Linked DNA regions of Oryza sativa Japonica Group. The protein of the gene in region 1 purifies or fractionates together with the protein of each later gene. This does not show direct contact. Links are inferred from orthologs where the notes say so. Each region holds a gene or a part of one and is shown in the gene's direction. Other genes may lie near its edges.

Evidence for each region. Proteins that work in one complex are often made in the same cells at the same time.
Region 2: the proteins of cullin-4 (region 1) and E3 ubiquitin-protein ligase COP1 purify together in Arabidopsis thaliana (affinity purification with western blotting, with the first as the bait; 3 studies listed by BioGRID). This does not show direct contact. The link is inferred for Oryza sativa Japonica Group from reciprocal best matches to the Arabidopsis thaliana genes CUL4 and COP1.

The regions. Positions count from the first base shown.
Region 1 is NC_089037.1:33,640,576-33,647,067, forward strand, and holds the start of cullin-4, read left to right. Parts: upstream 1-3,086; 5' UTR 3,087-3,246; coding exon 3,247-3,625; intron 3,626-4,746; coding exon 4,747-4,862; intron 4,863-4,936; coding exon 4,937-5,283; intron 5,284-5,706; coding exon 5,707-5,887; intron 5,888-5,982; coding exon 5,983-6,105; intron 6,106-6,303; coding exon 6,304-6,492. Other genes in the region: tRNA (guanine(26)-N(2))-dimethyltransferase 1, read left to right, coding at 28-116, 229-334, 443-655, 1,202-1,396, 1,527-1,604, 1,685-1,999. UniProt on the Arabidopsis thaliana protein: Component of the CUL4-RBX1-CDD (COP10-DDB1a-DET1) E3 ubiquitin-protein ligase complex which mediates the ubiquitination and subsequent proteasomal degradation of target proteins. Participates in the CDD complex to light-mediated control of development.
Region 2 is NC_089036.1:33,025,492-33,031,983, reverse strand, and holds the start of E3 ubiquitin-protein ligase COP1, read left to right. Parts: upstream 1-2,994; 5' UTR 2,995-3,339; coding exon 3,340-3,681; intron 3,682-4,295; coding exon 4,296-4,373; intron 4,374-4,846; coding exon 4,847-5,002; intron 5,003-5,117; coding exon 5,118-5,477; intron 5,478-5,615; coding exon 5,616-5,770; intron 5,771-5,873; coding exon 5,874-5,939; intron 5,940-6,301; coding exon 6,302-6,380; intron 6,381-6,472; coding exon 6,473-6,492. Other genes in the region: probable transcription factor At1g11510, read left to right, coding at 1-797. UniProt on the Arabidopsis thaliana protein: E3 ubiquitin-protein ligase that acts as a repressor of photomorphogenesis and as an activator of etiolation in darkness.

The DNA.
Region 1 (6,492 bases):
GTTATCTTTTCCATTTCTCAATACCAGAGTCATGCAAATCGATACAAACGATATATTGTGCCTGTTCTCTCTGTGTCTATGGATTTCTACATCCGTGTTTTTGTCCGAGTATTTACGTGAGTTCCTTTTTCCCCTCATCTTTTCCTTTATGCAACAGGACTATGTTCTTTTGTGCAGTACTTGGTTGAAATATTCTTTCTAAATTTGACACAATGAAATCTTATGCAGTTCTGCAAACGAAGTAAAGAAGACTCCTCAAAAGCTTTCTTATGTATATCAATGTGTTGGTTGCGATTCATTTCATCTTCAGTGTCTTGGTAGGACCATAACTAAGGTATGCTTGCCCCCCCCCCCCCAAGCCCCCAAACACACACAACCTCAATTCTATCTGTGCTGAGTCTGAAGCTTTCCCTTTTCCTTGTGCGTCCTCTCCGAACTGAAGAACAACAGTGTGAAGAATGCGCCTGCCATTGGGCCTGTTGTTCCTCAAGAGTGCAGTGCCTGTGGGAAGAAATTTACTATAGGAGGGCCAATATGGTCTGCTCCTATACATGACCAAGAGTGGGTAGTGTCTACTTTGACAGAAGTTAAGTCAATGAAGGATAGATATCCTGCATATGATAAGATAACTTCAGTTCTGACTACCATATCAGAGGTATTGCTATGACTGTTATCTGTGTTTTATCAAGTTGTCATTGTTGGTGCATTTGTGATGAAGTTAAAATGGCCTGTTTTGGTGCATTTGCTATGAAGTGAAACTGTTGCCTATTCTTAACATCACATTAAATAATTTTCTTTTTAGAATATTGACCTAAAGCACGATTTGCATGCAACTGAAGAGAATAAATAATGGTGGCTAGGAATACGACTTTTGCTAATCCATTTTATCAATACAACCTCGATATGTGGACCTGTTAATCATGGCATGCAACTGATGGAAATAAATAATGGCAGAAAGGAATACGACTTTTTGGTAATCCATTTCTCACTAGAACATAGATATGTAAAGCACTTCAACAGGAAAATTATTGCCCAAATGTGCAGTAATTTAGTTAAACCATGTACAAGTAATAAATTAGTTGGCCATCTAGTTCTGCATTTGTTTGTCATGGCTCACTCATTTACTCTTGAGAAATTATTTATAGTTTACGAACTCTTTAAAATTTTCTTTAAACTTCATTTTGTTATTATTGTGATGCAGGAGTTACATGACATCCCATTGTTCTTCAGTCTCCACAACATATGTGCTAATGTTAAATGCACATCTCCATCTGCAGTATTGTTCCGATCTGCAGTCCTAAATGCGGGTTATCGGATTTCTAGCACACATGTGAATCCACTTGGACTAAAAACTGATGCCCCTTGGGATGTTATTTGGGACATCATGCGCTGCTGGGTACATTCATTTATTCCTTTTGCCATAACTTTCCTAACATATTGTGTTTGCTAGTATAAATTGTGGGTAGTTTACTAGAAATGCTGTTTTTTTTTAGTATTCTGACTAATATTGTGACATTCGCATACAGGTGAAGAATCATCCTGTAAAGGAACAACCACATGACTCTGTAGGGACAGCGATCCTTTCAAAATCACCCAAGCTTGAAGTATGCATTTCTTGAACGTGCAGCAGTCCTTTTATGCCTTTCAGTTAGATGGCATTCTAACTTCCTTTGTGTTTTCATAGGCAAATTTCTCTAGAGCGGCTGCTGCCCTCAGCAGGGCTCAAGCAAAGAAGGTCAAGCGGTTCCTTCCGAACCCAGAACGTCATTGGGGTCCCAAAATCAGAGCTGGTCGGAAGATTACAAGTAAACATGCTTCTCTGTTAGGTCCAGACGTTGTCAACCGTGTTATCAACGGTGCTGCCAGCACCGAAGATGAAAAGGTGGCCGAGCCAAATAATCCAACGACAGAAACCGGAGGAGATGCAACGAATGAAGAGGATGAACCTTCAACAAAGCGCCAAAAAAACGGCGATGTTGGATTGGCAACCGAACCTTAATTGTCACTGAACCTGAGCACGTTTCGCTTTCACCACTCAATTCTTCCATGTTTGTAATGCTTCACTTTTCTTGAGGGTGTGACTGATGGGTATATCTATCAGCTGTGTTGCTAAACGGTTTTTAGCAATGAATTTTGATCGCGAAAAATCTGTTGTCATATTTTGCGCTTCTGGCCAAGCTTATTCAGTGTGCCTGCTGAGCGAGAAATGGTGAGGAAACGGGTGAAGACTATGGGATGCAATGCAATTGTTTTTTTTTTGTGCGCTTAAATTGGACGGGTTTCATTTTGTATTATTCTTCTGCCTGAACCTTTTTGTAACTTCTGTGGGTGCATTCCTTCCCTGTACCAAAGGCTGAGGCAATGATCGCGAATCCGGCGAATCAGACAGAAAGACGACGAAGACAGGTAGGGTATTTGCGTGTGAATGGATTCTAATCCCTGAACACAACTTAATTTATATCTTTCTCTTCTCTCTTCCAAATTTAATGTAGATAGTTACAAAAAATTCTAAAAGGAATTAACAACATACATAACGGTGTCTATGGGTATAAAAATTAAGTTTAAATTCGATCAGATGTAAACAATAGCTATTAGTCATACCTGAATTTGTCTTTTTTTTTTAACATTTTGATGCGTGAGTTGAGTTTTTTTTTTAACATTTCGATGCGTGAGTTGAGTCTGTACGTGAGATTTTGTGAGGTTGTACAGTAGGCATGTAGTACAAGTGTTGCTAATTTTTTTATAACCGTTTGGATGAATTTTTTGAACAAACGAAAGAAGATCCCGTCAAAGGGATGAAGATTATAGTTCTCCATATCTGACTGCGCGTGGATATCTCGAATTCTCGATCTCGAGTTCTCGACAGAAGGCAGAGGCGGCGAGGGCAAGGCGGCGGCAACAGAATTGGGCTAATGAGAACAAAAGGAAACTGGGCCGCGTGGAACTCCAGGCCCACATTCTCACTCTTAATTTGGGCCGCTACGGCCTCGCAAATCCCACCTAATAAAAAATAAAAAAAAGAAAAAGAAAAAGGAAAAAAAAGAAAAAAAAGAAAAGAAAAGGGGAAACCCTTCCTCCCCCAACCCGATCTCTCTCTCTCTAGTCTCCACTCCCCCACCTCCTCCTCGCCGGCGTGCGGCGGCCTCACCCCCAAAACCCCGGCGCGCCGCCACCTACCACCCATCCTACCCCGGGCCTCGCCGCCGCCGCCGGTGCGGCCGCGCCATGCGCTTCGGCATCTGATTCATGTCTCACCCCCACGCCACCGCCCCCAAGCGCCCCGGCCACTTCTCCTCCTCCTCCGCCGCCGCCTCCTCCCCGACCTCCCCCGCGCAGCCGCACATGAAGAAGGCCAAGTTCCCCGGCTCCTCCTCCTCCTCCTCCTCCGCCGCCGCCCCCGGGGTCACCGAGAAGAACGGGCTCCACGTCGATCCCACGGCCGCCGCCGCCCGGACCGGTGGGCGCACCAACGGCGAGGAGGATGCGGAGATGGTGCTCGCCGACCAGGAGGAGCTCGCCGCTCCGAGCGCATCGGCCCCGGCGGGGGTCGCCGCCAACCTCTTCCGGAAGAAGGCCACACTCCCCCAGCCATCCGCCGCCCGCAAGCCCCTCCGAATCAAAATAGGTCCCTCTCTTTCACTGTAATTGCACGTTTTCCATGTGAGAATACATCATCGAGGGGTTTCGGGGGTAAATTGAGGGGAATTCTATTGTTCCTCTCAGTGTGTTCACTTGCCCGCTTGCGTCGTTAACTTAAATTCCAATAATAGGGAGGGATTGAGGTGGTGTTCGTTAGCCCTTTCGTCAAATGGATCGCTTCGTCACACACTTCTGTTTTCTATTTACTAATTGGCGTGTCTATTTGTAAAGAGGAATTTGGCTAGACACTTGGACTATTTTGGGGGAAATTGATAATTGCTAGGGTAACTAATGATTTCGTCAGCAACAATCCGTCTAGTTTCTCTTGAGATATATATGTATGTTCAATTCCTTGTAATTGCTTGTTTATCTTGGCTTGCTTTGTTGGGCGTGAATATGCATCAAGGATTTCTGCCTTTTTTAATGCAGTTGACAAGTGAGCTTGGGCATAGTTGTATGGTTCTTCTGACTTCCTGCTCCCCATTTGGTCGTATTGCACCATATGAGCTGGCTTCTAGCTAGATTGCTTAAAAGTTGACACTCTTTTGTCTCTTTATTGGGTGTAACTGTCGGTATTTATTGGAAGCTTTGCTTCGCATCTCCAGTATGTGACCTTCTCTAGTCTTCAGGAGAAAGCTGAAAATCCGTTTCTGTGCAATGGATGTTGCAGTGGCTCTAACCTTTAATATCTATTCATTTCTGAGTCATATATAATAATAATCCCTGCACCAGTCACTATTCACTAATCAGTACCCACCATAACTAACTAGTAACCTGTATAAGAAAATTCAGAAGGCCATATGTTCTTTCTTAGATAATAGACCCCTGGGATCTTCTGGATGTATTTTTTGCAACCCTTTGGCGTGATTGGCAAATGAGATTGGGAAATAATATCCACCCATAAAAAATGCAACACTGCATCCTAGCCATCCATTCTAACCACTCCATTTCATTGTAGCCCTTCACTCATTTCCCTTTCCCGATCCCACCTCTCATAACCCATTTGCCGAACAAGAACTAAAGATTTACTCCCACCCCGGAATTCGTCTCTTGTTGCATCCCTTTTCTGTTTTGTTCATTATATCCCATCTGTTTTTCATGTATCAGGTCAGCCAAAATTGCCAACAAACTTTGAGGAGGATACATGGGCTATTTTGAAAGATGCTATTACAGCTATATTTCTAAAACAGAAACTTTCGTGCGATGTTGAAAAACTTTACCAGGTAATTTTTATATTGCTTCTATTCTATTTGATGATCCCACTTTAGTTATTTAGAACTTGTTTTCTTCACTATAGGCTGCAGGTGACCTTTGTCTACACAAGCTAGGCGCAAATCTATACGAACGCATAAAGAAAGAATGTGAAGTACACATATCGGCAAAAATATCAGCATTAGTGGGTCAAAGTCCAGATTTAGTAGTATTTTTGTCTCTGGTGCAAAGAACATGGCAAGATTTTTGCGATCAGATGTTGATTATTCGTGGTATTGCTTTACTTCTTGATGTAAAATATGTCAAGAATGTTGCAAACATTTGTTCAGTGTGGGACATGGGGTTGAAGCTATTCCGCAAGCATCTTTCACTGTCTCCGGAGATTGAACACAAAACTGTTACTGGTCTTCTAAGATTAATTGAGAGTGAGAGGTATGCCTACTCTGCTGTACTGAGCCATGTTGTGTGCATTACCTGTCTTATTGTGTGTGTGTGTGTGTGTTTTTTTTTTGGGGGGGGGGGTGGGGGTGGGCGTAAACATGGAATGATGAAAATTTGTAATGCATGTTCTGATTCACTTGGGAATTGTTCAGAGATCTGGGTTGAATGGTCAACTGTAAAAAGTACCCTTATCAGACTTAGTGCAATGTATTGTATACTCCATTACATATCAAAGAGTAATCAGTTTACTTGAGAAAAGTTTTGTCATTGCATTTACCTTGTGTGATGTAGCTGGCGATCATAGTGTATGTATTGGGTCCATTTTAAATTATTAAAATTGTGGACTTGAAGGGTCAATTTATTTTATATTCTTCTATGTAACTGATTATTCATTAACCATCTCTTCCTTATCAGGCTTGGTGAAGCAATAGACAGGACATTACTTAGTCATCTTCTGAAGATGTTTACTGCTCTTGGAATGTATTCTGAGAGTTTTGAAAAGCCCTTTCTGGAGTGTACATCTGAATTTTATGCTACTGAAGGTGTTAAATATTTGCAGCAGTCTGATATTCCAGACTATCTCAAGCATGTGGAGGTATTGATAAACCTCTTGTATTTCCCCTTGCATTTTGTTCACACAAAATTCAGGTATACTTATGCAATTGGTGGTATTTCACATGAATTATTCAGACAAGGTTGCAAGAAGAACATGAAAGGTGTATTCTATATTTGGAAGCTAACACTAGGAAGCCGCTTATAACAGCTACAGAAAAGCAATTATTGCAGCGGCACACATCTGCAATTCTTGAGAAGGTGATTATCTGCTCTTACAACTGTAGGATTTGTTATCTGGCCAGAATAAGAATGTGATGGTGCATTTTCTAGTTGACCCATTAGATCAATATATAGAAAAGAGGTGTTTACTTTATCAATATATTATATTTGTTGGCCACTAATTTAGTTTAGCCACTGTCTCATTCATGACCTGGCATATGATGTTTTACTGTTCAGGGATTCACAATGCTTATGGAAGCAAATCGTGTAAAAGACCTCTCGAGGATGTACACACTCTTCCAGAGGGTTGATGCCATTGAGTTGCTAAAGCAAGCACTTAGTTCATATATTCGGGGCACAGGCCAGGGCATTATCATGGATGAAGAAAAGGACAAAGAACTGGTGCCCTTTCTTCTGGAATTTAAG
Region 2 (6,492 bases), on another chromosome or scaffold:
AGTCCGATTCTTCCGGGGAGGAGGAATCGGAGGAGGAGGAGGAGGAGGACTTGGTGCGCTCCTCCGCTACCAAGAGCAGGGATCCACCGCAGGAGAATCGCGAGGAGGATGATTCGTCCGATGAGGAAGAGGACGAGTCGTCCGAATCCGAGAAGGCGGAGGCGCCGCCGCCGCCGCCGCCGAATCCGGCTCCGAAGCAGGGGGCGGAGGGGAATGGCCCGAAGGTCTCGTCGCCCAAGAGGCAGGCCTTCCACCGCATCTGGTCGACCGAGGACGAGGTGCGCATCCTCGAGGCGCTCGCGGCGCACCGCCGGGAGCACGGGTCGCTGCCACAGACCGACGCGCTCATCGCCACCCTCGCCGGCAGCCTCGACAACACTGGCTACGGCCGCAAGGAGCTCCAGGGGAAGGTCAGCACTCTCAAGCGCCGTTACGAATCCACCGCTAAGAAGAAGGGCGATCTCCCAAGCAAGGGCCATGACCGCCGGCTCTATGACCTCTCCAAGAGCGTCTGGGGCAGCGAGGCGGCAGCGGCGGCGGTGAACGGCACCACCACCGCGCCGAGGGAGTTCGGCGAGATGTGCGAGCTGTACCCGCACCTCGCTGAGGAGGTCAAGTTGCTGGAGGCGGCACACCCTGGCTTGTTCAAGAGGGACTTCGGGAAGCTCGATGACGACAAGGCGCATGCGCTGGACATGAAGATCAAGAAGCAGAGGATTGCCGAGATTTCGGTGGTGCTGCGCCGTGGCGACCTGACCAAGGAGGTGACCAAGGTGCTCGCTGAGCTGGTCGAGTGACTAGGTGAGCTGAACTGAAGTGAACAGTAGTAGCTCGGCGTTCCTTACCATGGCATAAGAAAGTGTACCTGGTCATTACCTGCAAACTATATCGTGAACAGGCATTACCTGCAAAATTTTGCTTCTTAGTGATGGAGTTGGATGTTCTATGTTCTTGTCTAGGCAATTCAGTCAGCGTCTCTTCTCAGTTCAGATAGATCGATAGGATGTAGTATAAAACATTGAAATTTCGTTTTTGGTTTGTCTTATCATTCCAGACAGTGATAGAATGTAGCAAGACTGAAATCGGTCATCGAATCAGTCCTGAACTCTTGACTCCTTTATAAACTGAACCCCAGTCCTCGTTAAGTATGGGTTAGTGCTGGCAGTGTGTTGCCCTAGCCTGAGGTCTCTGATATGGCAACTTGTCGCGTGATCAGTGATCGTCTCTGTCTAGCTGACATCTCTCCTGGATGAAATCAATCCAAAAAAAAAGAAGGCTTTGATCAGATAGATTAGGGTTCACACTTCACAACTCTGACGTTTCAACGCAGCGCGAAAGCAAATTCTGTTGGAATTTTTGAATCGTTTCAGAATTTTTCAAATTTGAATTGAAAATTTATGAAGAATATTTTAAAAATAACTTGTAAATAGTCCTACATTTGTAGTAAATACATGCATATGAAATGTCAAAAAATATAGGCGTAGAATGAAAATGCTCTTTGGACAACAACTGAATTGGTAAATTGAAAAAAGACATCTAGAAGGGTTTACAATATGTGTTGATTGTGTATGCACTTTATATTATGGACTTTGTATTGTTGTTATACTATGTTGTTTATGCACTTTACAGTATGTATTGATTGTGGGTGTACTTTGTATTGTGTTGATGTACTTTATATTATGCGTGTTGATGTTAATGGCGTAACATATATTTGGTTATGCATATTTAATTGTCAATGATATGGACTTCAAATTATCTTGTATTTGTGTTCATGAATATACATTGCGCTTATTCTCAATGTGAGGTTGTCAAATTGTAGGAAAGGTCATGCTGAATTTCTTTATTAATTTCTTACATTTTCCCACGTTTCCACGGTTTCCCCATTTTGATATCCTTTTAGTTTGCAATGTTCCTATCATCTCCATGAATTTTCTCATATTTCAAACATTTTCCCCTATTATCCAAATATTCAGAAAACACAATTAATTCCCACGCTACTCTTTGGCTTTTCAGCAAATCCAATGAGTTTTAGATGCTTTTGTTTGGTTTCCAAAACACTGGAACGGTGGTTTCCTGTTCGAATCAACTGAAATCCTGGTAGTTCCGGTTGGAATTCGGTGATTTTGATCATTTTTCATTGACGGGCAAATGGAACTTGAGAATTTGGCTTCTTAATTTTGTTTGAAATTTGACGGTTTTCGTGAAAACCGTTATACTGACAGGGTCAGGAGCGGGACCTCGATTGGAAATATAAACCCTTGCCTGTAATACGGTACAGCCGTACAGAATTCGTGTGGTGGCCACGGGCTCACGCACCGGGTCAGTGATAGCATCCAGTGGCCAATTTGGCCATGGAGATGATGCATTTTTTACACGGAGAATGATCCCAGAAACACGCATGATCTTCTCTTACAAGAATTTTCTAACAGAACATCCATTTCACCACACCCACTTGTTCAATGCAGCGCTGTTTTGTAACCCACATAACAACCGGACCCAGCACGTCTGAAACTAAGGTTACTCATCGGTTACCTAAATTAAAGTACTCCCTCCGTATTGTATTTTAATGTATGGTGCCGTTGACTTTTTTTATCAATATTTGACTATTCGTTTTATTCAAATTTTTTGTGATAATGTGAAAATATTTATGTCATGCTTAAAAAACATTTGATGATGGATCAAGTCACAATAAAATAAACGATAATTACATAAACTTTGTGAATAAGACGAATGATCAAACGTTAGATAAAAAGTCAACAGCGTCATATATTAAAATATGAAGGTAGTAGTAATTTACAGAGATGTTTTAGCGACCTAAAATTCTCAAGTTTGAAATTTTAATTTTTGGTTTTCATTTATGAGGACAATTGGGACTCTAACCACTCCCCCGGTCGCTTCGCGACGCGTCCGTCCCGACCTGCCAAATTCCTCGCACGGATTAAGCAAACCAAACTACTCGGATTAAATGCGCAAATCGAAAGCACGCGTTCCATTGGGAGACCGGCAAACTTCGTTTTTTCCTTCGAGAGGAACGGAGACGGAGTTTGCCGTCGTCGTGTGCGTGCCTCCTCGCGTACGCACATTTGCCCGCAGCGCCGCGGCGCGCGAGGCTACCCCGACCCCGACGTGGTCTCCTCCCACCCATACACCCTTCCGCTTCCACGCCCACACACAGAACCCAATTCCCCTCCCTCCTCCTCCACCCGCCCCTCCCTCCCACACACACCACACCACCACCACCACCACCCACCCCTCGTATGCAATTATTCACGCCCAGTCGCCGCCTCCACCGCCGCCGCCTGCTCGACTCACCACCGCAGGGCGGCCTCCTCCTGCCGCATGGGTGACTCGACGGTGGCCGGCGCGCTGGTGCCATCGGTGCCGAAGCAGGAGCAGGCGCCGTCGGGGGACGCGTCCACGGCGGCGTTGGCGGTGGCGGGGGAGGGGGAGGAGGATGCGGGGGCGCGCGCCTCCGCGGGGGGCAACGGGGAGGCCGCGGCCGACAGGGACCTCCTCTGCCCGATCTGCATGGCGGTCATCAAGGACGCCTTCCTCACCGCCTGCGGCCACAGCTTCTGCTACATGTGCATCGTCACGCATCTCAGCCACAAGAGCGACTGCCCCTGCTGCGGCAACTACCTCACCAAGGCGCAGCTCTACCCCAACTTCCTCCTCGACAAGGTTTGCTTGCTCGTTCTGCTTACACAGCCGAGATGGATAATGGATTGGCCGTGGCTTCCATATTCCGCCGATCGATTGGGAATTTTGGATGCCTATCCTAATTTCAAACGCAGGGCTTTGTAATTGAAATGTCACTGCCCCGCAAAAAAAAAAAATTGAAATGTCACTGAATGTACCTTTGGATGTGGCTTGGGATAGGTATCCGGTATAACCAATTTTAACAAATGTAGCAACTATTCAACAGTATGCCTTTCGATTCGTTTGTAGCAACTATTCAACAGTATTCAGCGCTTGAGCTGCGATTTATTGTACTACTGTTTGTGGTAGCTTCTGAAGTAGTAGCAGGTGTTCTGATTGGATAGCTCAGTTTTATTTGACTTGCACGGTACATTACAGTTTGTTGTTAATGTAAGTTTTGTTTAGAATCACCAGCAGTGGACAGTATTAGTTCTATGTCTGCTCTGGTTATCAGTACCTATTATATAATTTGTTCATCACTAGAGTTCTTCTCTAGTTCTGTTAAAACTTAAAACAAGCTGTAATTACTGGTTACTTGATACTGGGATTGTATAAATGTATCTCTAAGCATGTTTATCACATTTATGTCTGCATAGGTCTTGAAGAAAATGTCAGCTCGCCAAATTGCGAAGACAGCATCACCGATAGACCAATTTCGATATGCACTGCAACAGGTCAGTCACTTCACATGTTTTACTTTTGAAAATGTCTACTTTCAATAGCTCCTTAAACATAGTGGTATGTTCCTAAATGGTTTTATGTACTGTGAAAATTTTGCTTCCGTACCTTAGCTGTGCTTGTGATCTTCAGTTCAGAACTAAGTAGTACAGAGTAGTAATTAAGTTCTACACTGAACATGCTTATCTCTTGCATCAATTGTAGAATCTAAGCTACTGTGACCGATATCAAAGTATCTTTTGTTCCTTCGCTCTTACAGCCACATGATCTCTATCGTCCTCTTAACTGTTACAAGGATTGTCCATATGATAAACCAAGTATACCACAGAAGATAGATTTGCACTACCTTGCTGACTTTATATCTGTTTCAAAATTCAAACATAAAACTGACGTTCTCTAAATAAGTAATAGATGAATGATGACCAAACACTATCATATGTTTTAGTTTAATTCTTCTTTCTTTTTCTAGGGAAACGATATGGCGGTTAAAGAACTAGATAGTCTTATGACTTTGATCGCGGAGAAGAAGCGGCATATGGAACAGCAAGAGTCAGAAACAAATATGCAAATATTGCTGGTCTTCTTGCATTGCCTCAGAAAGCAAAAGTTGGAAGAGCTGAATGAGGTTTGTCTATATGTATTTTTCAGTATGCAGGTTTTTTTTCTTGCTACCTACAACAATAAATAATCTTTTACTGATGTCTATTGTTGTTAATCATGTTAACCTCTTTTTTACACAGATTCAAACTGACCTACAGTACATCAAAGAAGATATAAGTGCTGTGGAGAGACATAGGTTAGAATTATATCGAACAAAAGAAAGGTACTCAATGAAGCTCCGCATGCTTTTGGATGAACCTGCTGCATCAAAGATGTGGCCCTCACCTATGGATAAACCTAGTGGTCTCTTTCCTCCCAACTCTCGGGGACCACTTAGTACATCAAATCCAGGGGGTTTACAGAATAAGAAGCTTGACTTGAAAGGTCAAATTAGTCATCAAGGATTTCAAAGGAGAGATGTTCTCACTTGCTCGGATCCTCCTAGTGCCCCTATTCAATCAGGCAACGTTATTGCTCGGAAGAGGCGAGTTCAAGCTCAGGTTTGTTTCTCCCATTGCGCGCTTGATAGTTTGGTACTATCATATTGCAAGCATGTAGACAGCTTAGATTAGGAACTTATATGTTTATTTTGTTTTGATGTAAGATGAAATGCTAATGTGCTATGGGGCATATTGCAGTTTAACGAGCTTCAAGAATACTATCTTCAAAGACGGCGTACCGGAGCACAATCACGTAGGCTGGAGGAAAGAGACATAGTAACAATAAATAAAGAAGGTTATCATGCAGGACTTGAGGATTTCCAGTCTGTGCTAACAACATTCACACGATATAGGTCCGCTGATTATTTGTCCTTTTTAGCACATTATGATCATGGTAGTGGTTATGCCTATTCATTTGGCTTATCATTCTTTTGTTCTCTGTCATTTATGCTTCAGTCGCTTGCGTGTAATTGCGGAGCTAAGACATGGAGATCTGTTTCACTCTGCAAATATCGTATCAAGGTTAGTGCTTTTACAAAATATGTGCCTTATTTCATGTGCATCAACATGCTATTGGCAATGTGGATGTTGTCATAGCTGAATCCTCAAGCCAGCAGTGAGCTGAGGAGAGGTTTTGGTTGGAGGGGGGATGGTCTATTGCTCCTATGAGTCAAACTTCAACTATGTTCAATTAGCAAACAAATCCACTAATCTTGAATGCTGATGTTTATCATGTATTATAAGGAACAAAATATGACTATAAGTTTGTGCCTGTTTTTTTGGTGCATAATTTTCATTTCCATGTCTATCTGTAATCTCATATGTTTTTCAGTCGCCTACCTTACATGAGAATAGGGAATCACATTGATATTTCTTAAATGCAGTATCGAATTTGACCGTGATGATGAGCTATTTGCTACTGCTGGAGTCTCAAAGCGCATCAAAGTCTTCGAGTTTTCTACAGTAAGTTTTTTTTCAGGAATCTTATGTTGGCCATAGCTATATGCCTGTATAGTATTTGAAAATACTCAAATTTGGCCTATCTTATGTCGTAGGTTGTTAATGAACCATCAGA